Linked DNA regions of Drosophila melanogaster. The protein of the gene in region 1 interacts with the protein of each later gene in a pairwise test. Each region holds a gene or a part of one and is shown in the gene's direction. Other genes may lie near its edges.

Region 1 (7,692 bases):
GTTCCGAAAGGCAAGCACCTTGGTATCGGGCGTAAGGTAACCGATAACGCCAACCTTCACCCCATTTCTCTCGAGGATCGTCGAGTTGGCCAGCTGCTTGGCAGCCGCCATTTCCGGAACATCGGTGAGGTTCAGATTACAGGCCAAAACAGGGAATTCCACGGCATTTAGGAAGGGCACCAAACCCTCAACATTCTGATCAAACTCATGGTTGCCCAGAGACTATTGAAAGGTATATTGATGAAATATAGTAAGAGAATGCGGAAAACAATAAAATAATAGTTACAATAGCATCTGGCGATAGCTTGTTGAGGAAAGCACTGGCGATCTTGTCCTTATAGACGGTGAACCAAGCAGTTCCGGTATAGGTGTCACCTGCATTGAGATAAAACACTGGAGTTCCACCCTCCTCCGCCTCCTTGCGATACTTTCGCACCCTAGTTGAAGTTCATCAGCATGAATAGTTGAACTCTAGGCAAACTGACCGCACTTACTCGTATGCCACCCTGGCGAATCCTCCGTAGCACTGATCCGTATTGGCCTCCTCCTTGGAGCAGGTGCCACTGGTCACACTCGTCTGCTCGAATCGGGCGTGCATGTCATTGTTGTGCAGAATGATGAACTCGGCGGCAACTTCCGCCCGGGGTGCAATGGGATTCGGCTGCACAGGATGAATCAGTAGAGCCAGTAGGCAGCATGATCCGATAAGGAGACCACGGGCAGGTAACATTTTGGTGCTGGAACAATAAACACAACAATCGCTGATAAGTTATCACACACGAAGGGATGAAATGTGGGTGGATAATCTTCGGTGAATAAGCACTGATTCGCGCACGGCAACTGGTTTGTCATAATCATTGTTTTTGCACTCATGAAAATCTAAAAATTTTAATAAAAAATTAATGCACTGCCACTTAATGAAGCGTGTTTTAAGTATTAGTTCGTTTTCTTATCCGAATGGTTTTACACATGTAATGGAAACACTTCAAACGTTGTTAACCAGATTTTCTACTTAGACTGTTGAAGGTCCTTTTCGACCTTATCACCAATCCACTGCTGAGAGGCAAATATTTATCAATCACGAGCGCGCAGAAATCGCAATTTATAGTTTATTGGGTGTTTTAAATCTAATCGCCGCTTATCACTTTGCGTGTGCAAAAAAAAAACACACAAATCCCCAGCACATTCTGCTCGACAAATTTCTGCCATCGCGGTCCACTTCACTCGGTCAACTGGTTTTCGATTGAACTCGGAAACGAGCTCGAACTTCAGCTTGCTCATGGCATTGGCCTAAAAGCTAACTCGGCTCAAAAAGGCCCGATCGATGTTACTTCAGAAGCAACGAATTACCAAATACCAACGATCGCTACTCACATGCACTCGTCGCACGGTCCGCGGGCTAACTGACTGACCCACCAAATTGGCTGAGAGTGCGAGAACCGTTATTAGCCGAAAACATAAAGCCGAGTACCTTAAACAGCAAAACCGAAATTTACTGCCTCGCGAAGCGGACTGATTACGATAAGGCCTCGTATTGCGATTGCGGGTTAAATTGGCTGAGAATGACAATGCGATGCTCTTTCTGCATTACCCCATTGTATTTCGATGTTTTGGAAGCCATCGGAAGCAGACATATCGCGCGATAATCGTCGGTTATAGATCAGATAATGGTGAATTGGCTATATATTTATCTGACTCATAGCCACTCAGACAGAGGCAGGTAGTTGGCCCAACAGTTGTCTAAACACAACGTGACATTCCCACGCCGAAATATGGATTGTACTAAAAAATATATACAGTGCACGCTCGCTACGGAGAATTTACATTCGGCGTAACTCTAGCATCAAACAGCATTTACTTGTAAGTGATCTAAACACATGAATCAAAGATCACGCATTCGAAAGGATATTTTTGGAATATCTATATCTGTAATTAATATTTGCACTTTTGTTTCATAGTAAAACATTTTCACTGTCACGAAATTATATGCAACATGGTTGCTTACCTATATTTAGAGTATTTACTGTACATGTTTATTGACGCACCATTAACAACAGTCCGCCGATTGTGCCGAGTAAGCCGATCTTTGTTATTAATTTCCCGAAAATTCCAAGCAAGTGTCTTCTGCGAACTTTCAGGCACATTCGATTGATGAACAATGAGGCCTGCTTGTTGCACAGATTTATGGCCGCCAAAATGGAAGGATAGATAAATATTGGAAAGATGAATTTCACTCAACAGCCGCGTAAATTACTTTATGAGTTTACTGCGAAGTTCTACCCACACGAAATGATCACAATTGCCGGGTTTTGGGCCACAGTTCATCCCCAAATTATCCGCTGCCACTTGTCGCGTGCTTCTCAAACTGTTCAATCATATAGTATGTATAATGGCTCAATAGACACACGACAGCTGCGGCTGTGGATAATGTATTTGCTATTTACTATTTGCTGCCTGTGTTCGGGCAAATAACTCAAAAACGAAAGGGAAAGGTACAACTTTCCTGCTCGAGATGTCGCCTAAATATATCCGAAAGATACAAGATACAACAGCAATTGAGTTGGTTCGAAAATAAATAGAAGATGCTTCGGCCAAGTTTAACTGAAATGGGGAGAGGAAAACCAGCACGCAATATTACACAATGTCAAGTGTACGATAAAAATGAGATAAAAATAATATATATGATTCAATTTTGATACGCCCTTAACAACATCAAGTGCTTATCAAGTAAATAATGTGTACACACACCATTGCCGACATACTAAATGCAAATATCCAATCCATCCATATCATAAGTTCACAGACTTGACGTCTGGGCGTGATTATTTAAATGCCCCTTCCGAAATTGCGAAACAACAATTCGCTGAGATAGTGTCAAATTCGCAGCCCCAAATAAATCGAATAATGCCCAATTTCCTTGACCATAAATAAACATTTATTGCTATCAATGAGATTGTTTCTTTTTTTTTTTCTTGGGACAGGAGATTCTTCATTTATGGTGTCATCTTATATTTCAGCACTCCCCCCTTCCCCCTTCCAACAAACCCAAAATATAAATCCCTTTATTTTAAATTATGGTCATGATTACACAATGCGCGGACATAAACCATAAAGCGAATTATGTTCATTCCAAATTTTGACAGCATTATCGATTAGCATTTTGGGACCACTCCACCTTTACTACGTTAACAATCGGCAATAAAGCCGATAAGAATTGGTTCTCCATGCCAACGGAGGTAAACGTGATTTCGTTCAAACTAACTCATACCGCATACCAATTTCCATGACAACGAAATTCGAAAATTTCTCGCAGTGCTTTTAGGTGTGCACTTATCATTGCAGTGGCAGGTCAAACTAACTCGCAGGGGAAGTGCCGATCGAAGAGATGAATGTGAAGCGTGCCAGCTGCAAATGCTTATCATGGTCGGGCATACCGCACTGGGGAATCTCCTACAAATATGCACATTAAACGAATTTTGTATGCAAATACGAAAATCTATATTCGTAAAGAAGCATCGTGATCAAAGTTCAAGTGATCAAAGTTCACAAACAAAATTTTAGGTAGCTTATTGGTAGAATACAATGCTTAACGGATACGTTAAATATTACCTAAATAGCTTAACTGTCTAACCTGAATAACTTATTCTTTAAGTGCGTCAGCAGTGCACGTTTTGCCAAGAAAAGCAATTTAAGCAATTACATATATCGGTCGTTGTTCGCTAAAACCAGATCGAAACTCATTTGAAATCAACTGAATTAAAAGTCCAGATTCGTTTATTTGTAGCAATTAAGTTAATTCGTCATTAAATTGACAACTTATACATTCAAAAAAAATTCATGAAAATTTATACGCTCAAAACTTGATTACCCAAGATTGTAAGGTATTGATAATTTATTTATGTCTGCTTTAAAATGTAAAAAAAAGAAAATTTGATTAAAATGCTTTATTTTCGCACACACCCTTCAATGCAACCCTATTAAAAAAAAGGACATAGGAAGGTAACTTGGGAATCGGCTATGCCGCACCGAAAGGAAACGGACACGGGACAACAACAACTGAAAGGTCGGAAAGGACGAGCAGGGCGCGCCTGTGATCCCGGGGGGATGGGGTGCAGGACGGATGCACGGAGGAAGGGAGGATATTCGGAGCGCGGCTGCTGCAGCGGCAGAGAAAGAGAGAGAGAGAGAGAGATAGAGAGAGAGAGAGAGAGAGGTAGAGAGAGAGGCAGCGCCAGCTGAGGGTTGCAATATCCTGCTGCTGCCGTTCAGGCTGTGGCCTGTAGCCAGTATCCTGTTGCCCTCCCGCTTCAGCTGCCGCAACTCAAACAGCTGCAACAATTTTTTTTTTTTTGGTTGCCGATGGATTGTTGTTTTTAATTTCCTTGGCGCGGCACATCCCCTAATGCCACTATCTCTGGTCCCTGCCGCATTTTGGGGTTGGAGTCGGCAGTTGCCAGTTGGTCGCCGGGGTGCAGTTGGTCGCAGCTCAGTCGTGGCGATCGCCAGGTGAACGAAGGTTGTGTCGCGCAGGAGCGAGTTGGAAAACCAAACGATTGCAGCTTAAGTCTAGTAGATCATCCTCTAAGCATGTCGGGCAAACTGATCATGAAGCGCAAGCGAGCCAGCCAGGAGGAGCAGCAGCAGGCGCAGGAGCAACGTGTCCAGCCGCAGGAACAGCAACAGGAGCAGCAACCGACTGAAGCGGTTCCGGAGAAACGCCATCGTCCTCTAACTCCACCAGCAGAAGAGCCAGGGCAGAATTGCCCCAACCCGCCAGATGCCCCCAATCGAATCCTTCTGGAAGCGCTGCAAAAAATAATGGAGCTGCAAGCGGAGCTGGATGCCTTTGAGCAGGATCTAAACGATCGAGATGGCTATGCGGCTGCCGGAGCTGAAGCGGAGGATGTTGAGGAAAGTGACGAGGATGCCGAGGTGGCGGCCCAGTTTGCGCCACCGACGCCAGCCCAAAGGAGTCAGGCGGAGGCACTGGGTTTTGCCATGTGTGCCAGAGAAACATTGCTGTTTCTGCAGAGCGAGGGAATACCCACGGAGTCGCCACTCTACCAGACTCTCCTTGGGAAATTGGTTGGGCAAAGCGATGGACTTCTGCACGCCTGAGAGCAAACCGGAGGGCAGGAACTCCTCCTCATTCTAGTCACTTTGCTGCGATCTCATTGCAAGTAAAACGAGAGAGAGAAACCAAGGGTTGCGAACTTTCCGGGGGTGGAAATTATGCAACACAGGGATCTGGGTATTCCTAAGCTATTTACTCTAGTCAATTATTGTAAAGCAATATAAAACACATAAGCAACAACGAAATAAATTATGTATATTGAAAGTAAAACATAAAGGAAGAGGTTTTAATTAAGATTGGGGGGTTCCATCCTAGCTGGGAATAAAAAAACACTCTACTACATCGATTTTCGATACATTTTAAATATATTTATTTATTCATTTAGTTATTACTTGTGTTATTTAATTTTACATATAATAATTAATGAGAATAACTCAATCGCCATATATTATTTCTTTGAATTCATTTTGTAGGTATGTATATCATATAAGTGTATATATTCTTATTGTTGTTAGGGCGGGGTGTTTTTGTTGTTCGGTTATTTCATTAACTTGGTATCATAAATTATCTGGGGGCTTGGGGAATCGCCCTAAAGTAGCATTTGTTATAATTTCATATTAGTTATCTGTATAATTTGTAACAACGATAATTATTTGTAATAAATGGTTGTAATTCCTTTGTATTATCTGTATTACTGATATTTCATTAAAACTAGATTTTAATTGTTTTTAACAATTTAACGTTTCACATGGTTGTATGTAAGTAAATGTTTCTTAAGGTTTTTGGACAAGATATCGTTTTATTCATCTTCTTATTCGAATTCGAGTATATGTTTATTTCATTGCGTTAGCAATGCCAACTTTATTCGCTCGATACTCAAATTAGGTTACATAAATATTAAAAATGATAATATCTATAAATTGGCATTTCAATTGGTAATTTCAGACCGGGAAGGGATCCGTCCATTGCCATCCACTCCCTCCGAATCCCTTCCTACAAACATTTGGCACACTCTCTTGGTTCTACTTAAGCTCTACAGAGAATTCTCATTAATCTAAAAACTAACTAAAGTGAGAAAACAGGAAACGAAATTTTGAGTTTTGGCAACGGATCAAATTGTCGATTACGAGTTATGTTTAGTTTTGTTACTTTTGTTAGTTCAGTGTATAATTAATGGAGACAACTGGACAAAGCAGACGACTCATTTTTGAACAATTGAGGAAACGAAATTTTGGGTTAATTACTTTGCTTTATCCAGCGTCATGGGTTAAATGTGTTAAGTACATTGAATTACATTGTTATTACGTTAATTTTGTATTGAGTTACATTGTTGGTTTAGTTAGAACTTTATATTCGTGTATAAGTAAATGGAGTATTTGTTATTCATACGCTTACGCTTGCGTTTAAGTATTCTTTTTTACTCTGTTATTGTTTTCGTATCTGGTGTTTTAATAAAGTAATCATTTGCAGCACTATCCACTTATGGACATTGTTTCACAATAAACTTGTATATATTTTGTAATTTGTTAGTTATTTGTAGTTCTTTAGTATTCGATATATTAATTCTGAATGCTCGAGTATTAGATAATTTTTGTTAGGGTTATTCTGTTACCTTTCGTGTCAACATGGGGTTAGTCGATCTCTGTTAATTATGTAAATATTAGAATTTGTAAGTGTATATATATATATTCTTTATCTGTATCGTTAGTTTTGTTAAATATATGCATATATAAATAAAATTATGGTTTAAGTGTGCCCTCTGTATTTATTATTATATTCTATTAAGTTAATTAATCTCATAGATTCTGTCTCTACCGACCGTCAGTCGGGTCCTTCTTTCCCTATACATAGCTTTGTCTTGCTGTATCAACTGGATTCGCTCTGTATCATCTGTACGCCAGACTATCCCAGCTCAACTTTGAGCTGAGCCGTGTGCTTAACTACTGATCACTCCCGACCGAATACAGCTCCCACTAATCATTCAGGCTCTTTAGTATCTTTAAGATGGTTTGTAAATAGAGATAAAAAACTGGACACAGTTTCGTCTGTGTTTTATAGCCAACGCGAAAGTATGGTTTTCGATTTGTTGATCCAGCCTCATCATCATTAAACGTTAATCCTTGCACGCAAAAATATATGTATAAATATATTTGTTATGTATATGTTTTGTATGTGGTATATATCGTAAAGTTCATTTTGTCCATTTTGTAAATACTCCTCCTACGCCTTCCTCTAATCTTATGAACTCAAGTGTACAAAGTTTCTGTGATGTTCATGTTGATGTGATTTTTCGATTTGCTTGTTCTGCTTGTAGTTCTTGTATCTGTTGGGTTCAGAAAAACTGCACGGGCAAGAACGGAAATGTGCCAATATGTAGCGAAGGATTAGCAGGTCTGTAAGAGAATGTTAATTTGGATTTAGAGAGATGTTCTTGTCTTTGATTTGCGGTGTATAATCGAAAGGGTTTTTTTTGCGTTTTCGGATCAATGCAAATCAATACGGGAACTTTGACGGATAAGCGGAGAGGTATATGTATGTTAGAAGCAAGCAAGCGGATTCACATAAAGCCCGTGTATTCATTTGCATTGTCCAAAGACATCGATTTAGTGTGGGTTGTG
Region 2 (9,174 bases), on another chromosome or scaffold:
ACACCTGTCTTAATGAACAATTAACTGGAATCGCTTTTTAAGCCGTTCGCTTCACCTATAAACAAGCAAACATATATAGTTCATTTGGGTTTCTAGCCGAGGGGTAATTGTTTGGCCACCTACTTAATGGTTTGCATGTAATAATATTTTCGAATTAACCAAATGTAATCATGGCTAACTTTTGTTCCTCACATATTCTCATAGTTTCGAAGTGGTGGCTTCCGTTTCGAGCTTCTGTGCTTTTATTACATATCAAATTGTTTTCATAAGGCCATGAGAATTATTAAATAGCATGTTGATATTTGTGGCCCAGCCCTTCCGCCCAGTTCACTTAAAATAAATATAATGAATACACCATCCAATAGCGATTAAACTCAGTAAATATTGCAAAATGGCATCTGTAAACATGAATACGTTAGCGTAAATCCTTCAATATTTCATTTTATTGTTGCAAAGTAATTTCTTCGTTCACTTGGCAATCAGCTAGCCATTTACTATTCTTAAACTTTTCAAAAGATTAAACGAATTTTTTGTTGTTCGAAAAGTTTGAATCACTTTAAGCAGTCAGGACCACAGCTAATGCATGTTATAAAGTTTTACTTTCCAGATGCTTGTGAAGTTTTATGACGGCATTTCGAGCTCATAGTCAGGACTCTGAGGAGTGACAGTTGAGCATGTTTAGCTGCCGTTAGGTGGGCATATTAAATGACTCCTGGCGGGTTAATAATCTCGTCCATGCCCGGGCCATTTGGCAGTTTTGGATATCATCTTTTTCGGGAAGGGTGGTCCCCTTCAAAGCCCCTCCCCCCCACCGCCCCTTTTCCACAACAAGTGCACTCGAGAAACAATTTCAGATTGCACTCAAAGTTAAATGGGCGCCCAGAAAGGTGACGATGGGCTTAAGCAGCCGAGCGGACATGTGTGAAATATGATATGCTCATTAGGGCTCTTGGCCTGTCTTTTTCCATCCAGCCACCCGGCTGCCACGCCCCTTTCGCCCCGAAACGACCCGGCCCGCCCAAGTCGCCACGCAAGTCAAGTGCATAAATAAACGACTGGCTGCCTCTTAATGAGAAAGATGACGAGGGTGATGCGGCGTACACCTGCCGCCCGTCTGCGTTTGTGATATATCATCCGGCTGCCGGTACGCAGCCAAGGACACCTGACAGTTCCACCTCATCCTCCCACCCCCATCTAGCCACCCAGCCAGCCACCCATCCGGCCACCCATCCTGCCACCCACCCAACCACAGGCTTGAGTGAGAAATGTAAAGCAGTGGGACAGCGGGAATCTGCATCTCAGTCAACTGGTTTTCACGGCTCGTTCCCGATGGCAGACCTTTTGGATTCTGCCCAGGGAATCCTTGGATGTTTATGTTCGTTTAAGAAGACAACTTGTTGCTAAACAAATTCTTAGCTGGCAACGATTTTAAATGAATGGTTGGGTCTACAAATGGTTTGTATGATATATCCACATCCACACAGACCAACCACATTCACAGCTATAAAATCCATAAATAGCTCAAGAGCTATTATCAAACCACTTTCATGTACGCTCACTTCACAAGAGTATATCAATCCCAATGAATCCCACTTGAGTTGGCGATTCTGGTTTTCACTTCGGTCGGTCTTAGTAAGATTGTTGTTACAGTGCGTGGTCAATCGGCATAATAAATCATTATAACGCCCACCGAAGCCAAAACTCCGATCACCGATTAAGTCATCATCAGCACAGGGCCAGAAGACCGAAAGGAAATTAAGTGGACTCAGCGACATGGCCAAGATCGGCGGTGGAAACAATGCGTCGTCGTCATTACTGGCGTGCCCAAAACTCGCCTTGGGGTCAGGGTCGGGTTTGGACCTGGGTTCGGGATCGGTTTCTCGACTTCTTCGGCTTGACGGGGTCCATTGACGCCAGCCGAGCGCCGTTGGCGGGGCTCACTTAAAAACTAATAGAGATTTAATCTGTTTGACTTGCCAATGAAGTCATTTAGAATGTAAATATTGCGACGAGTACAGATGGCTAAAGCAGCGTTCTCAAATGGAGCGTTCCGAGTGTGCAAAGCCTGTTTTAAGCTGAATGGAAGATAGTCTTATCCATAAGGAAGATACTTCTAATCTATTTACTTTTCTACTAACATTGTGACTTAATATGAGGTTAGACAGGAAAACTCAATAGAAACTTGGGTTCATTGGCTACAAGATTGGGTTTCGTCACCTCACAAGACGATATACCTGTTATTATCCCCACTTCCTGGCTTGCAGTTCTTTTCTAACACCGATTGCATCAAAGTCCTCCTCCGCTCAAGTGGATTATGTTTCTTTTTGCATCTTGCAACTACTACTACTACTATTACTACTACTATCGCCTGTCCTGAGGCACCTGTTGAACCCACACCGATGGCCATATTATTTACCTACATCTCAATCTCAACCATAATCACAATATTTACACCTTTCTCCGTCGCTCTTTCGATGCTGGCTTCCGCTCCTCGATGGAGGAAACAGTGTTACACAAATGCAAATCAATTGTAAATACAAATAGAAAACCTGGCCGAAAGCAGTGGAGCAAAAGGTAACATTTACTATAAATAACAAAACACCGTTAGCCTGAGGAAATCTTCGCCAAAGTTGGAGTAGTAGATACACCTGAAAACTGCATACAATCGATGTAAAAATTTTATATATAAAATTTCTCGATGCTATACAAATGAAATATAATTTGGTAAGTGTCCTCAAGTTTTGAGTAAACTGTGGCTGAAAATGCACTTCTACTTGTTTACCTAAAATGTTGCCAAATAGTTAGTTGCACAGTTTTTCTTTCGGTATTGCGACTGCAACTAGAAGCCTTGCGTTTTCTTGCCCTGGTGTGAATTTATTGCTTAATCATGCGACTTTAAAACGGCACGGCTGGCAGGTAAAGGCAGCTGGGTTTTGGATTCGGTTTTAACAAGGTGAGTGCTTGTCCAACTGGACGCGCTCCGTTTTATTTTCTGGCCATATTCTACGGCATCTTGCCGGTAGAAGAACGAAGTTCATTTGTGACTGCAGCTCAGTGTCGTTTGTTTTATTCGCCGAGTGGATGATGAATATATAATATAGATAGATAGATATATAGATAGATATATAGATGGTTAGATAGATAGGTAGATAGATAGATAGATAGATGGTAAGATAGATAGATAGATAGATAGATAGGTAGATAGATAGGTAGATAGATAGATAGATAGATGGATAGATAGATAGGTAAATAGATAGATATATATAGATAGATAGATATATAAATAGATAGATAGATAGACAGATAGATAGATATACAGATAGATATAAAGATAGATAGATAGATAGATCAACCGATAGATATATGTTAGATAGATAGATAGTTTGATTGCAACCTGCCAGCATGTTCGATTCTGGGCTGGCATGTTGAAGTTCGATTCGAACAAGCTGGTGTTTGAGTCCAACAATCTTGGGCTTAAATTCTTCTTAAAGTATAAAATAACAATTCCCTTAAAATTGAGATTTAGAGTTTTACTTTTGAGTTCTGGCTAAACTTATTTTTATTAGATAAACAACAATCCTACTTCTCGAACCCTTGCTTCTGCCTCTGCGGTCATTTTCGTGACCAGATTCGGAATTGTGAATAGTTAGGTTGTGAGCTCTTCTAGAACAGCTGATATGCAAATATGATAGAGGTTAGAATTGACCATGTTTTGATTATTTATAAATCAAATCAAGTATTAATAATATCATGTGATGATGAATTTTGTCGATTTAAAAAATGTGAAAGTTTTTGTTAGGTATGTAAATAGCAAACTAATAACAGAGGGAAATTTAGTTCCGTGTAAATCTTTCGACAGAGAGTCTTAGAACAGGATGTCTTGGAAACTAAAAGACGTGAGAATTAAGAACAATGCTAAATAATTTTAAATGAAATATATCCATTAAATATTTCTTATTAATGAGATATTTAAATAAGGATTTCTTTACACAGTTCAGTATTTTACATCGAATTTGAATATCACTCATACGCCTGTGTTAAAAATTATATTTTCACCTGGTTAGGAAGGAGAAAAACTGAACGGAGGCAAGGCAACATGTTCGAATCGAACTCGCGATGCTTTCGCGCGGGTAACTAACTGCGAACATAAAGCTCACCACTCAGTCTAAAAACGAGTTTCAACGCGTTCGGCTGCCGACCCGCTCGATTTTTGAATTCATTTTTTGGCCAGGCCCACTGAAAAAAAAAAGAGAAAAAACCAATCGAAAACAAAGCCTCATTGCGCCCCATTAGGCAAATGCTAAATTAGTCCGTTGTGTAAAGGTGTAAAGCATTATTTTGTCGAAATTCGCCTGCCGCAACAAACCCCATTTGCTTGTGTTGGTTTAAGCCCAATTGTTTGGCCAAAGTACCGCGGAGTTTTGTAAAAATATTTCTGGAAAATCTTCCCCAAAGTGCAGTGATTGTGTTTGTGTGCTCGTATCGTTTGTAGAACGGTAACAGGTAAAACAACATCAACAATCCGAGTCCGAACGAGCGGCCGATGTCGGTGAATATAACCATTAAAATGAAGTTAAAGTCGCTCCCGAGCTGCATACAAATGCTGCTGTAAATAAGTCTAAACAAACACTTGCATTTGGTGAGTTTCAATTGCCTCAATGGGCTTTTTTTTTGGGTCTGAGGTCGGGGGTGTTGGCCACATGTGGAATAAATCATAATTAGTGGGGCTTAAGTCTCGAATTGGGTTATGGGTACAACGGAAACTTAAGTGTGGGAATCAGTGCTAGTTGTCTTTATTTGTGAAACTATTTCGAACTGCGTTAATTGTGGCCCAGTGGTTGCCGTGTATACTTATCGCATTAGCGCGCTCAAGGAGCTGGAAATAATAGATACGCTAATAGATACATATGTGGTTTTAAAATTGGAGTAGATATAAGAAATCAAAATAAATATTCAAGCTACTTTTTCGCTTTACCTTGCTTAACAGGTACTTTAAATTGTGTTTTGATTTTAATCAGATACATTTCTGACCATCTGCAAGTTTATACTAATCCAAAACTATATCTATATAACTATATAACTCCACACCAACTTTTCCCTTCACTTTGTGAACACATTTTTCGGGATTACATTCTAAACAGAATTTCCGTTAGTATGAACCAAAATGTAGCTACTTAGTTTTCCGTTTTATTTGTTTCATTTTCTACTGCTCTCTGACAATTTTTGTCGCGAAAAAGTTTTTGGGATAGAAAGTTTATATTGTGAGCTAATTTGAGTTTGCATGGATAAAAGGGTAGAATTACGTTATATTTGTAAGTGTACATTTGGCCATGTGAAGCCATTTACCAATTCCAGGTAGTACACATTGTAGTCTTGTTTAAGCCGTTAACTCTGGGCGGACTTGAGTTCCTTGACTCTCGGTACTGTTCTGAATTATATGGAAGCAACCCGCAAATTTTCAGTGCTTGTGGAAATTATTTTCCGACAGTTGCTAATAAACCTGCCTACTTCATGGGCACAGCTCGCAACGGTCATTACTCATGCCAAATCTTCTGTCACTTCACACCTTCTCCGTCTAATTCTACGGTCAACTTGTCAACACGATGTGAAGTGGGGTCTGTGTGCGTGAGAGCTCTTAAGCCTTATGCAACAGCTCAAATTAGCCATGCAATTTGTACTTAACTATTTGCAGCGTCTTGTTGCAAGTTGGGGTCTTGGGGAATCGAAATGGAGGCTGGCGACTGGGGGCTGGTGACTGGAGAATGGAGAATGGAGAATGGGGTAATGGCTTCCACAGGGCACTCGCTGCAGAGGCGGGAATAATAAAATGTCCAAGGACTTGGAGCGGACAAGCGACAAGTTTATCACTTGTTAAGCCAAACGCTGCAGACATGCAGCCGGCTTCATCCTGCACCATTCCTACCCAGACGCCCAGTCCTACTCCTATTCCTACTGCATCCGAGCACCCCGCTCCGGGAATCCAACTCTAGACAACGTCGGCGTCGAGTGGCAGGCCCAGATGGGCGCGGCAGATAAGGAACTGGGCCCAGACCCAAAAGAGCAGGCCAAGAATAGGGCGTTCTGGGTCCGATCCTATTTGCATGCCACTCGCTTGAAGTGGGCCACACTCGGTCCGGATGAAAGCGGATATCAGAATACACAGAGACAAGATGTGAAGCGTTTGTAATCCAAATCCATTTACTCATCCGATCTTAAGTCCTCCAGGGAGGAGGTAGGTGTACTTTAAATCCTAATCTGAGTTTGGCCTCATACAGTCAAAATGTATATAAGATAAAACAAGAAAAACATGCATTTTAGTGCAATATATGTTGGATAGTTTGCGAATACTGGCGTTCGTCACCAAAGTTTCCTGATTTATTTTCTGTGCACGATTGGATGAGACAAAGGAAACATATAAAAAACATTTATTATTAATTGGTGCGTGCTAGTATTTATAAACCTGCTTTACAATTTCATGTAAATTATTTCTTTTATTCGTAAAAAGCTAGCCATATTGCATTAAAATACATCCGAATTTTTTTGTTGCTCTACAAACAACTACAAAATAGTTAATAATATCTTTAGACTGCAATCACTGTTTGGAATAAAGTTTTGCCATCTATAAGCCATCAGGCAAATCGTTTGCTATTATATTCATAATCCCAATCTAAAGCCAATTGGATGCCATTTTTGAGTATCCTTAGGCAGCTGGGACTTAAAGTTGAGTCTAACGATATGGTCCCGACCTTTTCGGGAGTTCCTCGAAATGGGATATCATCCACAGCCCGTCGCCCAAAACGGAGGCTTTCGCAGACGCAGCTGCTCCTCTTTCATTTGGGCCATTTAAATAATGGCTGCAAATGGCTGGGTGACAATAAAGAAGACCGGCAGCCACCACAAGTGAAGTTACCCAACAAAGCAGACTTCGGCTATAAATAGTTGAGAAAAAGTCAGGAAACGAATGTCAACTGAAAAATTACGTATACGCAGACATCGATGCTCATCGATAGTGAGACATGGGCTCGCTTTCGTTTCCGCTGTTGAGTCGAGCGTGTTGACTTTTCATTTTCCAATTTTTATTTAAATTTTTGTCTGTCGAACGGCGTCACTCTTGTTTATGACCATTTAATTGACACGCTACCTGGCAGTCGAAGCTCTTCTGGGAATATTTCCATTTATTGAGGCCATGGGACATAATTGATTATGAACTGGGGAAATTGTGCCAGTCAATAAAGAAAATCGCACTGTCAAGATCGAGGAGACAGCAGCTTTAAATGTGTGCACATGTCTGGTTAGCATTTTGGAAAATTGTGTATCAATGTCACTCAAGTGCAGCGTCCTTCGACTTCGAAATTTGATCCCTTTCTAATTAAAATATCTGTCCTTAAATATCAAACACAATGCAAATATTATGAATGTGCAAATATGTCAACGAATTATCCGTCAGATTGTCAGTAAGGAAATCTAGGAAGTCATTCTAAATGAAATGTTACACTGGAAAACAATATTCGAGGAATCGAAGATATGCATTCAAAAATAGCATGTAAAGCAATAATTCAAGTTATCATTTAATTTTATAATTTTCAGCAATATATAGATTTATTTTCTAAGTGCACCAAACGAGCCATTAGAAGGTAAGCAATCAGTTAATCTACCTCACAACTCAAGAGCTACAATTGAAATCCTCTATTAAATCAGCTCTCCACTCACAAGAGCACTTTGTAATTAACTCTTACAAATCTATTAGAATAAACTTTCCCAAGAAGCTCGACCAATTAGTATTATTAAAGTGTTGTGCTGTTCGCAGGCAAGAGTCCCTCCATTTAGCCAGGCCAAAAGAACAGGTGGCTAAACAATGCTAGTCACTCCTTTGGATCTGCCCGAGGTCGTCACTTTGATTTGCACAAGGTATTTGCAGGGAGCAGCAACAATGGCATTGCTTTTACGCAACTTTAATTAGCAGGACAAACAAGCTGTTCTGACACGCCAGGAGGTAATACCTTTGACTACACGCCCACCCACCCCTCTCGTCCTTTGGATGGCGTTTTTCCCTGGCAACCGGACAACCGTTGACAAACGGAAGGTAGCGGGAGAAATGGCGGGGTTGTTGTGGCACCCAAAATATGCTAAACACAAAGTCAGAGTTGAAATTTAATTAAAATGTTGCTGGCAAAAGCATTGAACTGTGGATATGCAAAATGCTCGCTTTCAGGGCCCATGCTGCGTATGCGCAATTTTTTGCCTATTACCAGCAATTAATGCGGCTATCTTCTTAGGCAGCCTGCTAATTGAATTTTTGGTTGTCCCAAGGGCTTCTTTGAGTTTGGCAGTCGCTGACCCTTTTGTTTTTCCTCTCGCACGTGTCCTGCAAAATTGATAAGCCATAAATATTCGTTATGCCTAAAAGCAACAGTTTGGCCACACAGCATAAACATAAAAGGGATGCCAATGCCCCCAAAAACCTTCTTTTCAGCTTGAATTCTATCCCTTTTCTCTCAAACAAAATGCCCAACAAAGAGCACGAAAAGTTTTGTTCTTGCAAGATTCCATGTTATGCTTCATTAACTTAATGCTGTTTTCACAATAAATTTTCATTCTTTCCATTTCGGCGCTAACAAAGAGCATTTCAAACACGCTTATGCTAATCCCAAGGAATTTCCATTTCGATTTTTCCCCTATATCTCGATGGCTTCCTGGTTCTCCTGTTGTTGATTTCGCAGATAGTGTGCATAATTTGGAAGTTTTCTTCCTTTTTTATAGCAGGACTGCAACTGGCTTAGATAACCATAAATGTTGCACGAGTGTTGAGGATGCCGAAAAATGATTTATTTTGCATGTACCCAACACTGCGGAGTTAACCCTTTTTAATAACAAATGCCTCTGGTGGCTCAAGGGGGTCCCCTCGTTTCTGGGTCCGCTTGAGTGACTAGCTGTCACGATTTGCTCTATGTTAGAACTTATGACTCTCTGGCGGGGAGAATGAATGCATCAGGTAAACGAACTGATGAACTGGGCACAGGTAAATGGGGCGGGAAAACAACATGTTTAAAATTGTATTAAGTGAAGTGCAGCCCTTGGCCCTTCTATGAATATGCTTACTTTATTGGAGCGTGAGTCCCTGAGCATTCATCCCATTCCCGTGCAGTTGGCACTCTCTGTCACGCTTTGATTGAG
Region 3 (7,639 bases), on another chromosome or scaffold:
AAATTGTAACATATTTTGTGGCATACTTATATACCTATAAACCTTTACAATCGATATTAAAGTGACTTCTTGTTTTCTTTTGAAACATTTTGACTTAGATTCGTTAGTTTTACTTTAAATTGTCCATATTCGTACCAGTGTACCCGGCTTGATTTCTTTTTTTTCGCGATTGTTTTTTGCGCCGCCCGGTGAGTCCTGACTAGCGTCCTTGGGGTAGAAGAAGACAGAGAGCTGCCGTCAGGGACAACCTGCCGTGGCAAAGCGGCAACCTCAATTAGGGGTTGTCATCTGGTCGGATCTCGATAAAGCAGCCGCTGACATACTGCGACATTGTGACGTCACAATGTGATTCACCGCATTGTTATTCCCAGATATTTGCATTCATCTGAGGCCCGGGTGTTTAGAGGCAGGACTCGACGCCTTCCAGTCAGCGAACACCTTTGTCCTCCGCTTGACTTCCCATGAAGGATCCCCTGCTCATCGACGGGGAAACGCCCCGAAATGGGTGTGCTATTTTACCCTATGGGTAGATGCCACGGTTTAGACCTTGATTATGTGAGCTTATTGTTATTATTGATTGCTGGCGGGGATCGCAAAAATCATAAACGATTAAGCTTATTAAGATCCATGGGAATCCGCTTCTAAATAGCGAGCTTCCATACGAATATGGCGGTCAGAGATATAACGTATTAGTTTCAAAGATTATTAAATTTGTGATCTATACAATTCAGCTAAAGTTGAAGCTTTAAGTGAAAACCCCCTGTAGCTTCGCTAGTGCCATCAATCAGCTTTAAATTTCTAATTCAATTTTAATTTCACATATCATCTGCATTATTCAACGGCTTGGGTAAATAGATTAATTTATGGCCATCCGTCAGGCGGAAGATCAGCCAAAACTGTCATCGATCTTTCTCCGATTTTCTCCGCGAAAAAAACTGTCAAACGGCAGCTCCACTGCCGAGTTGTTAATCAGCCGAATCAAAAGTGTGCCAGCCATTTAGACATTGTAGTCGGCTCAAGGATTTTGACAGCTAAGCTGACATGCAGAAAGGCGAGGGGCCAGAAAGAAACAAATCCATAAGTCAGCCATAGATGGAGATGCAGGGAACACATGTCGGGTGTCTCGCAGTTCCACGAGTTTCTCGAGTACATTGTGTGACTGACTGGCAACCAGGTGAATATGGCAACAAGCTCAAGCCCAGTGCTCAAAATGCAATGAAACAATCAATCAAAGCGCTGAAAGAGGCTTGTCGAGCAGATCGGAGCACGGAGCATAAGGCTATGAGAGGGAGCTGGAGCTCCGAGATCCATGAGAGCTGCATGTATGTATGTATTGTAGTAATGGGCCTGGCCAACCGTCTAACGGTGGAACTGCGCACAAAAGGCACAAAATCAAATTACCGGCAATGATTAATCAATCAGCACGGGCACTGTGCTTTTCTGAGATACAGCAAGCGAATATCAATCTCAAACATCCCATTCCAATCTATGCACTTATGCTGGCTATACACTTTTGTCAAACATTCATTTAATACCTTTGAACATTACACTTATACAACACGCATTTATTATTTAAATATGTTTTTTTTTTTTGTCTGTTGGTGAAATGTCCATTAATCAATTGATTTGAAACGGACCACAGAAAACTCTGCATTTGTATACCCCCTATTTTCCCGGTGTGGTGGTCATAAAGCCACCGCATGAACACGATCTTTGCCGCTGGCCTCGTCTGGACCCGCTGATTGTGGGTGTGTGTGCGGGTGAGTGTGTGTGCTGGCCAAGTGGGTGCGTTCTCGCAGCTGGATACCCGACGTCCAAGTCCAAATCCAAATCCAAGTCCAAGTCAGAGCCGAACTGCCAGCAATCACGATCCGATCCGAGCCAAGCCAAAGATACATACATACGGCAGCACACACCTGCGAACTCTCACTGCCCGCATTCCCCTTGCCACTCCCCCCAACACATGCCACACAGCCCCACGAAAGCCCCCAGCCTCAGCAACATCCCATGCTCCATAGAGCGGGCACATAACCATGCCCATTCCGTATCCACGTGTGCGTTCTGGCCGCCTTCTGGCAATTGGCAGTACCAATACCCAATACCCAATAACCGATACCAAAACCAAATGCAACTCCAAATCAATGCTCCTTGTGGCGGCGGCTTCTTCCCAAAAAAGGTTTGTGCTCAGCGATCGTGCCAAAAATGGGCTTGCAACTGGAATTCGCTTTTAGCCAAGCAACATACTCGAACGTGTGGGGACCAGGTCTAGCATCTCAGATCCTGCTCCGGCACCAACTAATGCACTCTAAGAAAATGTGACATTCTTTACTCATATATTACAATAGAGAGAGAGAGGCTATTTCACAGTGATTCTACAGAGGCTCGTCGCACACAGGCTCGTTTTTCTTCGAGTGTAAGGCCTCTGGCCGATCTGCCAAACTACCAAGTGCAGGTGGCGATTGGCCAAGACCAAAACCAAAACGTCGATCGAGAGACCAGCTGGTGTGAATAGCTAGAAAGTTTTAGTGCCTTACCCCTCATCTATCTATAATCCAATCATTTCGTCCTCAGATCGTGAGAATCGGTGCGGCAGTGCGAAATTTATTTGTGTGCTGACCAAAAACAAATGCCGCATGATTTCAATTTATGGCCATCTAATGAAAATTTGACAAATAGCAAATGGGTAGGCTCTGGATTCGGGGCCAATAACATACATCATGATCATTTCGCTGGCGAAAAAGCTGACTTCCGTCAATTGATTGAAATGCCTGGGCCCAAAATGCATACAGTCACAGTCCCGATCTCGATCCCGATCCCGATCTCGGTCCGGATCTCAATCCGAATCCCAAGGAAATCGCAGATCTCGAGCAGTCTGTCAAAGTCCCCGCATCAAGTTGTTGGCTGCTCCGATTTATGTCTGCTCGATGGAGGCAAAGTCGTGACCCGCGCGAGCATTGAACTCCCAGTGAACCGATCTGGTCTACTGTGGACCTCGGATAATTTGGATTTGGCTTAGGACTTACACAGAGAAAAATGAGTATCCTGAAAGAAGCTGCATATTTTATAGCCATGTCGTAGATTTTAGTTATATTCCGATTATTTTCAGTGCTTGGGTGAGATGTAAGCCATAAAAGAACAACTCACCAGTCAGTTGTTTAACGATCTCACCTTGGCTTCCACGGTGCGACTTGGGGATTTGTGGCCCAAAGGCAGCGCCACACATTTAAGCGAAATGAATTTGAAATCCGCCTGCACGAAGTGCAATTTTCAACCAGTCGGCCCGAAAGCCTTATTACTGTGGGAGCTGTTCAAAATAATGAAGCCATTGCCATGGGCAGACCGTCAAAATATATAGGGTCCAAAGCGGCCCCGAACCATTGTCAATCATATTCGAGAGTCTATTTTCCCACATTGCATGCCCCACTGATCGCGTTTTGGTCCAACTCTTCATGGGAAAATCAGTGAGCTGGCTTCGCCTAGTTGCGCAACAATTATTTGGCTCTGGTTTCAGGCCTTTATTTGTAAGGGTCGTCTGTAGGGACGGTCCACACACCTTAAACGAGGTTGCGCTCCGCTGAACCCCCTACCAAAACATTGTTAAAAGTCACATGCCGGGGTTGTAACTACTGACTGCTTTACGAACTACCGAGTTAGCCCTTCACGGTTATTATCTAGGCCAAAACGGAAGTGCGCTTCTCGAGATATTCTAACCAAGTTTTTCACACATCCACCTCGGTGCGCAGGTGTTTCTAGAAAAAAAGTGCCAATTGTGCATATGTAAATTCCCTTTTTATTTGTGGCGGAAATTAAATTTAGGAGACGCTCGATTGGGTTGATACGGAAAATTGGGCATAGATAGTCCACGATAGGACTTAGCCTTTTTGACTAACTTTTTTCTTACCTAAAACTTACAGATTAGTTTATAAAAGATTATAATAGAAATCACTGATAATCTTATATAATTTGCTTAACAAATTTATTACTACAAAAATCAATATTGGTTTATTAAACTTTTTTTTACTGTGTATACTCGAGTATACGGTACCCGGTTATTTTACATTTATACTACTGCGCCCCTATCGACGAACTGTTTGGGCGACATCTAGCGTCTGTAAATGAAAGTCGCATTGCCGGTAGATGGCAGCACAGTAATAGTTATGTGCTTATTTGTAATGTATGTAGGTCCATTTCAATATTAACTTTCTATAATTAAGTTGCGGGAGGTCTCAACCTGCGGCAAGTACTCACTAAATCCTTACTGCGAGATTTTTAAATTCAAAAACTACATAATGGCAATTAAATGAGGCTAAGATGAGTATTTATATAAAATAAATGTTCTCTTCGGTAGCGAGTATTGATATAGATTAGGCAAAAAATCCATTTTCAAAAAACGAAAGCCTATTCCCATCTTTGTTTCGTGCAACCTTTTCGATAGTTATCGATAGAGAAAAATCGAAACACATATGTTTGGATCATGATACCTTTCTCTTACGCCGTCCGAAAGAACTGGCAGCCTGGGAAACAAAACTTATTCGTCATCAACTGAATAGCTATTGTAAACAATGGATACAAAGTGTGAGTAAAAAACATAAATTCAAGAAGAAAACTATATATATACTCACAATAAGCCAGCTTACGAAAGGAAGTGGTGTACATCCAACACCCGACTTTTATTGTCCCTTTACAATGAACGCCAAGCTGATTTTCGGGATCCGAAAAAAAAGATCAAGGACATTTGGGGGGAAATGGTCGTTGCCCTTGAAAGCCAGGGAATGACAGATATCGATGCAGTTCAGCTGGATCGAAAATTTAGGAACCTGAAGAAGACCTACTATAGCATAAGGAGCAAGCTCCTGGCGAAGGTACCGCATTTCCATCCAAACTGGCAGTTCTACGACGAGATGTCCGAAATTCTAAAGGATGACCCTGTCCCACCGCCGCAGGAACTTTCCATCAATGATTTCGATGAAGCGGTGGTCAGTTTGGAGACCGGTATCCAGAAAGGCAGGATGCTGTCTATGGGCACCACTGTCAGCACAGTTATTCCCCGCCAAATGCGTACGTATCGCAAACGAAAGCAGCCATTGGATGATGTCGATATCAAGATCCAGAAGGACTACGAAGTGCAAACGGATCGGCAGCGGGATGGGGAACAGTTTACAGTCTTTAATGCCGCCGAACCCAATACTAATGATTTGTCAGAGTCTGCGGCCGAGATCTCCATCAGCAACGACGAAGAGGCATTGAGACACCTAAGAGCGCTCCAGGAGTACGCCATGATCCATGATAATTTCAGGGCCATAGGACTGCTAATACAGGTGGAGCACGCCATTCAATATCCAGCCCAGATCAAGGACTTCGAGGTGGATCAAACGTAGTGTCCTTATAAACAAGCACGTAATCTACTGGAAAAGCAAAGATAAGATAAGGCACATACCTAATTTATACCTCTATATTTAAGATTTTAATATTTTATAATATATATACTTTAATTTACTTTATTTAAATATGGTTCATGCACTTGCTAACACCACTGAAAAATGAATCTGGTTCTAAACAAATCTGGCTTGGGTATTGGCTAAAATATTGCGCTGTGGCAATACCGTTTTCTAAAACCTATAGTTACAACAATCTAAAGGAATTTCACAAGAAAAACCAACATTTCTGAAATCTTATTAGTATTTTGAAGAGTAACAAAGTGAATCCTGCCGAGATCAACGCCGATCTGTAAGCAAGTTCGTCTTGGAAATTGACAAAAACCGAAAAATCTGGCAGCACCAATATGACACTAAAGGTTCAAGAAAAGACCTTCGGTTGCACAAAATAGAAAATTCAAACATAATTGAAAAGAATTAACTAGTATCGTGAAAACATGTAATACAGTTAATAAAAAGTTATAGTATTATGCAATATTGATCAAATGAAGCAAACTTTATCGATAACTTCGAAATTGCAACCCTAAATGCATCGGATGGGCAATACCAATCTGAAGTCTACAAAAAAGCATATTGTGGAAGTCTAAGTTTTGTTAAATTTATGGAAAAGGAATCCAATTTATCGGACAACTTGCAGTCCCGGTTATTTGCACTGGGTCCTGCCCCGCCAGGATTTCGTCCACCGGATGCTACCGCCTTTGCCACAGCGGAGTCAAATCTTCGTAATGCCATCCGCTACCTTAATGATACCTATGGCGAGCTCGATCAGCTGCGCACTGTCATCCAGAAGGAGAAGAATAACTCGAAGCGTACGTCCTACAAGGCGCAGTCCATGATGCTTGCCATGCAAGTGATACGTTTCAAAGGACTTATTGGGAAGTACAGGGACATTCTGATTGGCCTGCAGGATGCCGAAATCATCAAGGTCAAACAATACATAGAGCAAATGGTGGAGATGAGGAACAAAATCCAGGCAAAGACCGATCCCACACAGCGCGAGTTCCAAGTGGGCAGCTCAATCTCACTGGTGCAGGAACAGCGCAAGACCAAGAGAATCTGCCGCAGGTGGCGGGATCGCCTGGTCCAGCTGACGGAGGCCAAGATGGACAAAACTGAGCAACTTACTGAGAAACCAAAGCTGATCAATGTAAGAACCGTTACAAAAGAACTTATACATATTTTCATTGCGCTTCCAATATCCATCCATGTTTTCATGAAAACTCTCATCGAATTCTGATCGAATTTCGACTGAACTCGATATGCTTTTTTAGAAACCTAGAAATATGTTAAATGCAAAAACCAACAAGTGGAAGGAAGCTGTAAGCTTGGTGAGTATAGCCAAACATATAAAGGATAAGTTAAATGCTAGTAAATATAAAACTAATCCTAGCAACAAAGCGGTCTAATTAAAAGTGGCTGTAAGAGGTGTGAATACCTAAGAAAGCTGACTAAGAATCGTCCATCCAAACTTTGTAAGGTGTGTAAAAAATGGTCTGATGATGAAAAAGCAAAAGCGGCAGGAAATAAGAAAGCCAACAAAACGCCAATAATGGTATGACACTATTGAAAAGTCGCAACATAAATTAATACTATTATTGCAGGCGAAGTCGAAAAAATTAGAAGTACGCGTGCGTACGGATTCTGAAGAAGCTATAATTAAAATAGAGATAGAGGTGGGTGTGTACAAGTAGATCAACAGTAACATTAGCACTTATTATTAATTTTCTTAGCATGGTGAATTTACCGATGAAGAGGAAATTGGGTCATTGGAAAAGGAAACGACCTTAAAAGATGAGATCAAGGAGGTTAGTTGTTTCTTCAACCTGAAAAATGTGTTTAATTTTGGAATGTTTTTTTTTAGACTGTTGAATCTCACGACACGGCAGCAGTTGAGGTAAGTAAACAGGTCCTTGGACTGTAATAGAACTAACGTAACGATAAATGACTCAATGACAGGAGGAAAATGAGACCAGTCAAGACGATGTGGACCCCAAAGTAGTCGCTTCCTTACAAAATTCACTGAAATCCATCGACTGTAAAAATATGGCCTTGGCCTACGTGAAGGTCTTACAGGAGTACGCCATGTTAAATGATAACTATCGGGCCATTGGACTACTTACTGAAGTTGAAAAATCAGTTTTAAATCCGCCTCAGAACGAGGATTTCGATCTATGATCTTATTGACGCCACAAAAATAAAGTTTA
Region 4 (7,641 bases), on another chromosome or scaffold:
AGCTTAAACAATTATTCCTCACTTATGAGGTAACTGGTAAATAACTTATATCCTTTGAATACTTTTTTATGCACGCAATTTCTGAGCTAAATATTTATATCGATTTTCATCAAGCCAACCAATTTTAACTAAATGTCTTTACTAAGGACCTTTTACTAAAATGTATCAGGAGTAATGTTATCGAAACATACATAAATTATTTACAATTCATTTCCATATTTAGGCAATGAATGGGATGTGTCTTCATTTTGGCTTTTTCAAAAAATTGCACTGACCATCCATCCAGAATTATGGATCTAGTTTAAGGTTAATATACATACATATGTACAGCTGTAACTTGTATTGCATATTTAAGTAGGCATGAAGGGCCGCGAAAGGTTAACGCTTGGTGCTAACTATATTCTAGTAACTAGAAGTACTTACTTCCAACGGAGTATGTATACAAACCGCTTTAGATCTTCATAAAAAAGGAGTTTGCTGAACAGAAGTCGAGCAATTATGTTTCTGCAAGAGGAAGCCGACTTGGCTTTATGGGTTTTCAAGTGGCTAGGGATACTTGAACCAACCGGACAGGCGCAGTGAGTTATGACCGAGTAATGAGAGCCAAGAAGCGCCAACCGGCGATGGCCCACAATATCAGTTTGCGTGTCTCAAGTGCATTGCTGCACAATTTACGCGGCCGATTTTAATAAATTCAATGACTCCAATTTGTAATTAGACGCTGGAAGGTGCGCTGCGTGCTTTTAATTGTTTTGCAGCCATCCTTGGTTGCCTTTTGGCGCAACGGTTCCGCTTGACCCGCGACGCATCGAGCGCTCCGGAGGTCAGCCGCGTGCCCATAACGCCCCAGTTGGAGGCATTCGCCGCCCACCGATCTGCACTGTGCAACATTCAACCAACTTGCAGTGAGAGTTGCGTTTGGGTTTGTATGATAACTGGTATAATTTATTTGCTTCAGCTTGTGAAAAATAGCTATAGTTCATTAAATGTATAAAATAAATCAAGTTCATTCTCATCATGCCTATTTTGTAGAAATATGCTTCTGTTTCTTTAAGTTCATCATTGCATACGGCCTAGGTGTTAGAACATGTTTTTCTGTCTCTCTTTCTAAATGACTTACAACTAATTAAATAAACAATATGTACAATGGGAGCTATAAACTACGTTTTCTATTTGCTTGTTTCGTGTGGTTTCTTGTAATTTTTTTTTTTAACTCGTGTATAGTGTTGTGTATGTGTGTTGGTTTCAAGTCTTGGAGCTCTTAAAAGGATGCATAGTTCTAAAAGTTGAATTTTGAATTCCTCTGTGCATGGCCGCAGATAAAGTAAATATAAATTAATAAAATTTGAACAAAGCAATGGGGGCGGGTCCAACAAGTCTGCCGTATCGTAGGATATATATATTAAAATAAATAGCCTTTTACTTCGATTTGCAAAACAATAAAATTGAATTTTTAAGTTTGCTTCACATATTTCGGAATTCTATTAAATATACATTTACTGACTAGCAGTTAAAAACGAAAAAAGTCATAGAAATAAATAAAATGAATGCAAATTTGCGCTTTGCACTTAAGTACGTAAACGAAAACTCTCTCATTAAATTGACTAATAAATTGATTAATGTTATACAATTATGATTTGTGTGTTCGTGTGTGTGTGTGTTTGCAAATGGAAGACTTTGCGATTATTGTTGTTTCTCACTTAAAGTTTACAACTTTAGCTAGCCATTAAATTACAAATTTATCGTTTAATTTATACAATAGGTATTTCTCTCCCAATCCGAGGCGCCTGTCTGCCTGTCTATTTTTTATTCTCTTATTCCTTTCTTAATTGTGTTGAAAGCTCATTTGGTTCAGCATTTTAGCAGGTGAAATGCAATTTAGTTAGCATAAATACGTATGTGGACAGGATCGCTGCTAACTAGCTGGCGTCCTGCAGTCCGCTGCACGGCAACACTGGCAGCAACATGTTGCTGCTGGGCGAGCTGGCTGTTGCCGCCGGCGGAGCTGCAACATCGCTGCCCTGGTTGCTGCTGCTGCCGCTGCTGCTACCGTTGCTGCCGCCATTGAAGATCTCCGACTTGATGCTGCAACTAGTTGTGGCCGATGTTGCTCCCGCTCCCGCTACCGCTCCCGTAACCGTTCCTGCTCCTGCTGTTGCTCCCGTTGCTGCTGCTGCCCCACCCGTTTGCAGTGCCAGCATTTGTTGCGCCTGCGCAACGCATGCAACACACGGACACGGCCCGCCCAATTTCTTCGCCAATATGGAGCGCAGCTTGAGAGCCGGCCCCAGCTTCATGCCCAGCGAGTTAACCAGGTGATCCTCGGTTAAGAGCGGCAGGCCAGTGCCATCGATGGACTGATCACGAAACGACTGCAACGAGAAGAGAGCCAAAGAGAAGAATTAGTGGGGTGTCTACGGAAGAGTCGGTAGATTTATGGTGGCCATGGCCACTTGCACAGTGGTTAGTGGTTGGAAAAATAGACTGTATCATTTAATTCCCTTTTTAAATATACTTCTAAAATCTTTACATTGTTTAAAATACTAAAATAAATTAATCAGTACATCATCTGAATATCAGATATTGGCTATCATACGATTAGTCATGTACTTATACTTATGTATGCATATTTATCAAAATAACTTTGTTATTTTTGTTATTTTGATCCACTGTGCTATCCACGATAAGTCGTGGGCACAGGGCATCCTGTATTGCATTCTGTATTCTTTATGAGTGTGTGTGTGTCTGTGAACTTGTGATTAATGCGCGGCTTTTAAAATTGTTAATGAAAAACGATTTTAGCCAAAGCTGCCTGACTTGGCTGCCGCACTCGCTGCAGTAGCATTTTCATATTTGCAACGCACGATCGATCGAAAGTGGGCTGAGAGTGGGCACCTCATTTTCCTCCCACTCTCCTCATTCTCCTTTTCCTTCGCCGAGCTGATATCCACTGCCACGCCCCCTGCTGCTGCTGCTGCTGCTGCTGCTGGTGGTGCTGCTGCAAACTCCCCTTTGGGCAAAACGAAGCTCGCGCCACATGAGATTTCTATTATAGATTGGCCCTGATTGAATTCCACGTAGCTCTCTTCAACAGGGGGCCAACCTGTTTCCGCAGCAGCTGCTGCTGTTGCTTCAGCTGCTGCACTGCAGCAACATGGACTAACAACTGCCACTGTTTTTTCAGTTCCCCAGCATATGCCCCCCTTGTTGCGGCACTGCTTTGGACACGCCTTTATCGGACTGCCCCTTTTTAATGGGCAAGAGCAGCCACGGCCACAGTCAAATCGATTCGATTCCGGGCAACGGCGGTCATCTCTATATATAAGGGACGGTCGGACAGCCCGGGCAGCTCAGCGTTGCAGCGATGTGGCGGATGCGGATGCGGCTACTCACTGGCTACCTGGTCCTGCTGGCCCTCGGCCAACTGCCGGAGCATGGCGCTCTGGGCCAGAAGTACTACATGAACTTTGCCTTCAACAACAATAATCCGGATGGCGAAGGAGGCACCGGCGTCGATGGTGGCGGTGGTGGTGCTGGTGGTGGTGCCGCTGGTCCCGGCGGTGGAACCGGGGATTCGCCTCATTCACAAGAAGGTGACGGTAGTGCTGCGACGGATAACCCCAATGACGACCACGCTACATCTGCTGATAATAGTTTGGCTACCGATGGCGATGCCATTGGTAAGAAGGAAAGCGGCGGTGGTAGCGATGGCAAGAGCGACTCCAAAGACTCGAGCGGAGGCAATGATGCCACGCCAGCGAATGGTCATGACGATGACAACGATGACAGCGACAGCAAGGATGCCAAGGATCGACAAGATAAGGAAGAGGAGGCCGGACAGGAGGGGAAGCGCACCGATCACAGCCATCACAGTAGCTACGAGATCAGCATCGACGACAGCTTTGGCGGGCGGTACGTGCGGTCCATTTACGAGAGCAGCGAGAGCCACGGACATTCCGGCAGCAATGCCGGCTCCAATCAGCGGGACAATGGAGCCCGTGAGAGCAGTCAGGAGAACCAGGATGCCAAGGAAGTGGCCAGCGAAGCGCCTGCTCAACGGGCAGGCAACGTGCCAGATGGACCCGAAACTGGAGCCAAGGAAGATGACTACGAGGAGATGTAACACAACCGGGAGATCTGACCGTAAGTGTCTTGGTCGTGAGAAAAAACGATCTGCCCTAACTTTGTCCTTGCCCTTACTTTTGGCAGACAGGTTCGCTCGAGGGACTTTGGAAGAACGCAGACACTTCAATTGATTTTATCATTAAAATGCCAATAAAATTTTAATACCAAGACTGCTTTTTTTAATGAGTAGCAAGTGGAGGGATTAAGTTAAGGGATTAAATAGAACCATATTGAATCAAATGCAAACGTACTTTCATATCGATTGCATTAATAGAAAGCTTGTAAGGCCAAGTCGAATGGGTTATTATATTATATTATTATTATTATTATTATTATTATTATTATTATTATTATTATTATTATTATTATTATTATTATATTAAAGACAGTTCTGGTCAACCGAATTCAAAATCTGAGGATCTGTATACAACACAGGATCACAGGATCCGTTCAGATTATGATTGAATATGTCAATTTTTTATAAAAAATCGGAGTTTTCTTGTAGGTATTTCATTTATTATTATAAATCATAGAATTTAAAATGCTTCTACTTAAATTACATACTATTTTTTTTTTAACTGTGACATCAATTAAAGGTGCCACCGGCAAAGTATCCAAGTCGAATCTAATGGCAATCAGGCAAATCAGTCATCACATTAAAAATAAGTATCTTCATCACTTTTAACAAGATTAGTCACGAGTCAACAGAGCGAGGGCATATAGGGAACCCAGTTACCATATAGGAACCGTCACTTCGGTTCCGGTGATGCTGAAGAACGTAACCATGCTGACCTCCTGCCTGTGGACAACTCTGCCGTGGATTGTCCTGGGCCAGACGTACTACATGAGCTTTATTTTCAACAACTATGGACCATCTAGAATAAGTGCGCCACAACTTGGATTCAATGGTACAGCAAGAGAGCCCGTTGAGGGGGACAATGTGAAGATCAGCTCGGTAGAACATTCAGACGAGGGAGATACTCTGGAGGTCAGCTCATTGGAGCATTCACTGGAGTCCAAACATAACTCTAAAAAGGACAAGATAATGGAAACACTTGAGTTGAGTTCAGAGCATCACTCGCGGGAGAAGAGCGAAACTAAGAAACCAAGCGTGGAAGATAAGGACTTAAGTGATTCGGCTGAGACGATGACGTGGTCTACTACTAAACAGATCAAATCCACAACAATGAAAAAAACAAAGGCCACAACATATGAAACACCTGAAATGCCCAATGAAATCACCACAGAATCCACGATGGCCACTGCTATTGACAAAGAAAAGACAACTGTAGAAATTTACACGGAAAGCCCCAAGGAGAAGTTTACAGATCTACCAGGAATCGGAAAAGAACCATCAGATTCAAACACTCAAAGTTTTTCCTCAAGATCTTGGGAGCCAGTAACACCACACCCATCCGCATTCTTCGATTACCCAGAGGCCACATGTAGCGAGGATATGGATCTACATGAGGTATTTGGCATTAGGCTCGAACGAGATAGGGGTTTGCCCACCAAGATCTTGTGCACATTCAAAAACAAATGGGGAGGTCCTTGGTTGCTAATGACGCGGATAGAGCTACCAGTTCGTGTTCACATGCGTCACTGGTTCTTGGGCTATCTAACTGCGGACTACAAGGACATGAATATCAATTTTTTGGCACTGGCTCATATCATGAACTCCATGCGCACTGCCATGTTGATCCTTGGCCAGGATAAGGACAACAAGTTGGTCTATAATCTGTACGATGATGTGGTCATATCGGCCTTCAATGATCTCTTCATGATGCGAAAAGCCGAATTGGTGGAGGCCAACACGACGGAATTGCTTTTTGTATCCGTCGGCAAGGTATTGAGTTCGTATGCGGGTCGCAATCGATCGTGTCCTTTGCAGGTCCTTGGCAGCTGGTGGGGTCACCATTCGGTGCAGGATATGTACCAGGGATTCTTTTGGTGAGGATTCGAAGATCTTGATCTTTACTTACAACAAATAATTAATTCAAGTAAATCATATTTTTCAGTATTTTCCCCAAGGATCGCATCATATCCAAGCCCGGCTATGTGGCAATTTTTATAAAACCCAGTCTTTTCCCCGCGAATAACACAGCTCTTTACGATCATCCCATATCGACACGACGTCCCTGGTCGAACAACAATTATAATACTAAAATTTTAAATGAAACAGAGAAAAATTCGAAGGCATATAAAAAAGAACAAAAATTGGAATGGGAACGCAACAAGATGGCTGTGCAAAAGGAGCTGGATCGTCGAGCCAGGATCTTTGAAGCTATAGACAGACTGAGGATTGAGGAGGCACAGCGGCACAGGGGAAGGTAGCGTAAGTAGGGGTTTTTGGATATAGGGTCATAAGCCAGGAAGGGGTCATCTCCATTACTCAAGAGAGCGAATATATAAATTAATGTTTAAGTTATACTCATTAGATTAAGCTTATAAATACAAGACTAAGTTGTGTGTTTGTTTGCGTTTTACTTTAGTTTTTGTCTATCTATCTATTACTATAACTCTTAGTTATCACATCTTGCAGGTGACAGTGCATATTCTAACTTTAATAAGCTTGTCTAACTTTCCTCTCAAATTAAGTATTCATTTCTATCCGTATCCGTATTCCCACAAAGCGTTGGTCAAAAGGTAGAGAAGAAATCTAAACGAGCTAAAAAACGAGGCAAAGACCAAGAGCCAACCGGAAATTGGTGGCTTTTACTCCAATGGGCAGCTCTTAGACTCTGTCATAATTTTGCTCGGACAACGTATAGCAACATACAAAAAAAAAATATATATGAGGGGAATCGGGAGGAGCAGAGGCTTTGATTTGGGTGGCTCTGTGGTCATGGTTATGGTTAGCCAAGTGCATTCTAAATTCTGTGCCAATAATTGACAGAGCCAACAATAGCAGCAACAACAAGTTGGCATTAACTAGAGCCCAGGAAATGGCCAGAAAGCCAGCAACAAAAAAAAAAAAAAGAGCACAACTTGGCCATAACAATACGGGCCAAAAACAGATTTGAATTGTGGGTCTCTCAGGCTCTCGGCTCTTGACTTTGAACTCCTTGGCAGAAACAAAAAAAGCAGCAAAAACTAAGGGGCCGAGGCCATCTGTAGATCCATACACGCAATGTAATTGGACTCCAGGTCTCCAGGTCTCCATTCGGTTGAAGGCAATTTAAGACAACACAGGCCAGAAGGAAAATGGGCGGAAAATATGGAAATATGCAAATCATTTGGTTGCATCAAACAAAAGACTTTGCTAGCGTTAGAAGACCTAGTTTAGTCTCATATTTTTTGCTGGCCAAAACACCAAGCGGTAATATAAATGAATGCAAAAACAGAACTCTGAACTTTAATAGCTTTCGCAGCTCGTATCTATTTGACAGACACAAAAGATTCAAACAAATTGATTGAATATTTACATACATAAGTCCAAGAATTGGCAAATATTTGCCATGAAATCAAAGAGTTCACTTGAGATACGCATCTTACGACTCCACCCAAAACCGAATA

Evidence for each region.
Region 2: the proteins of insb (region 1) and CG43861 interact in a two-hybrid assay, tested with the Drosophila melanogaster proteins (one large-scale study listed by BioGRID).
Region 3: the proteins of insb (region 1) and CG13896 interact in a two-hybrid assay, tested with the Drosophila melanogaster proteins (one large-scale study listed by BioGRID).
Region 4: the proteins of insb (region 1) and Acp32CD interact in a two-hybrid assay, tested with the Drosophila melanogaster proteins (one large-scale study listed by BioGRID).

What each region holds. Positions count from the first base shown.
Region 1 is NT_033778.4:17,472,862-17,480,553, reverse strand, and holds insb (insensible), read left to right. Parts: upstream 1-4,281; 5' UTR 4,282-4,587; coding exon 4,588-5,118; 3' UTR 5,119-5,340; downstream 5,341-7,692. Other genes in the region: veil, read right to left, coding at 1-222, 287-437, 495-730.
Region 2 is NT_033779.5:20,012,285-20,021,458, reverse strand, and holds the start of CG43861 (uncharacterized protein), read left to right. Parts: upstream 1-4,176; 5' UTR 4,177-4,639; intron 4,640-9,174.
Region 3 is NT_037436.4:708,681-716,319, reverse strand, and holds CG13896 (uncharacterized protein), read left to right. Parts: upstream 1-4,469; 5' UTR 4,470-4,562; coding exon 4,563-4,575; exon of another isoform or gene 4,576-4,632; coding exon 4,633-5,378; 3' UTR 5,379-5,500; downstream 5,501-7,639. Other genes in the region: CkIIalpha-i3 (CKII-alpha subunit interactor-3), read left to right, coding at 5,963-6,010, 6,073-6,582, 6,707-6,763, 6,826-6,987, 7,037-7,108, 7,166-7,240, 7,297-7,329, 7,392-7,610.
Region 4 is NT_033779.5:11,012,281-11,019,921, forward strand, and holds Acp32CD (accessory gland protein 32CD), read left to right. Parts: upstream 1-3,339; 5' UTR 3,340-3,364; coding exon 3,365-4,123; 3' UTR 4,124-4,143; intron 4,144-4,209; 3' UTR 4,210-4,291; downstream 4,292-7,641. Other genes in the region: Samuel (SAM-motif ubiquitously expressed punctatedly localized protein), read right to left, coding at 1,920-2,372; CG14913 (uncharacterized protein), read left to right, coding at 4,892-6,075, 6,144-6,459. UniProt on the Drosophila melanogaster protein: Responsible for physiological and behavioral changes in mated female flies.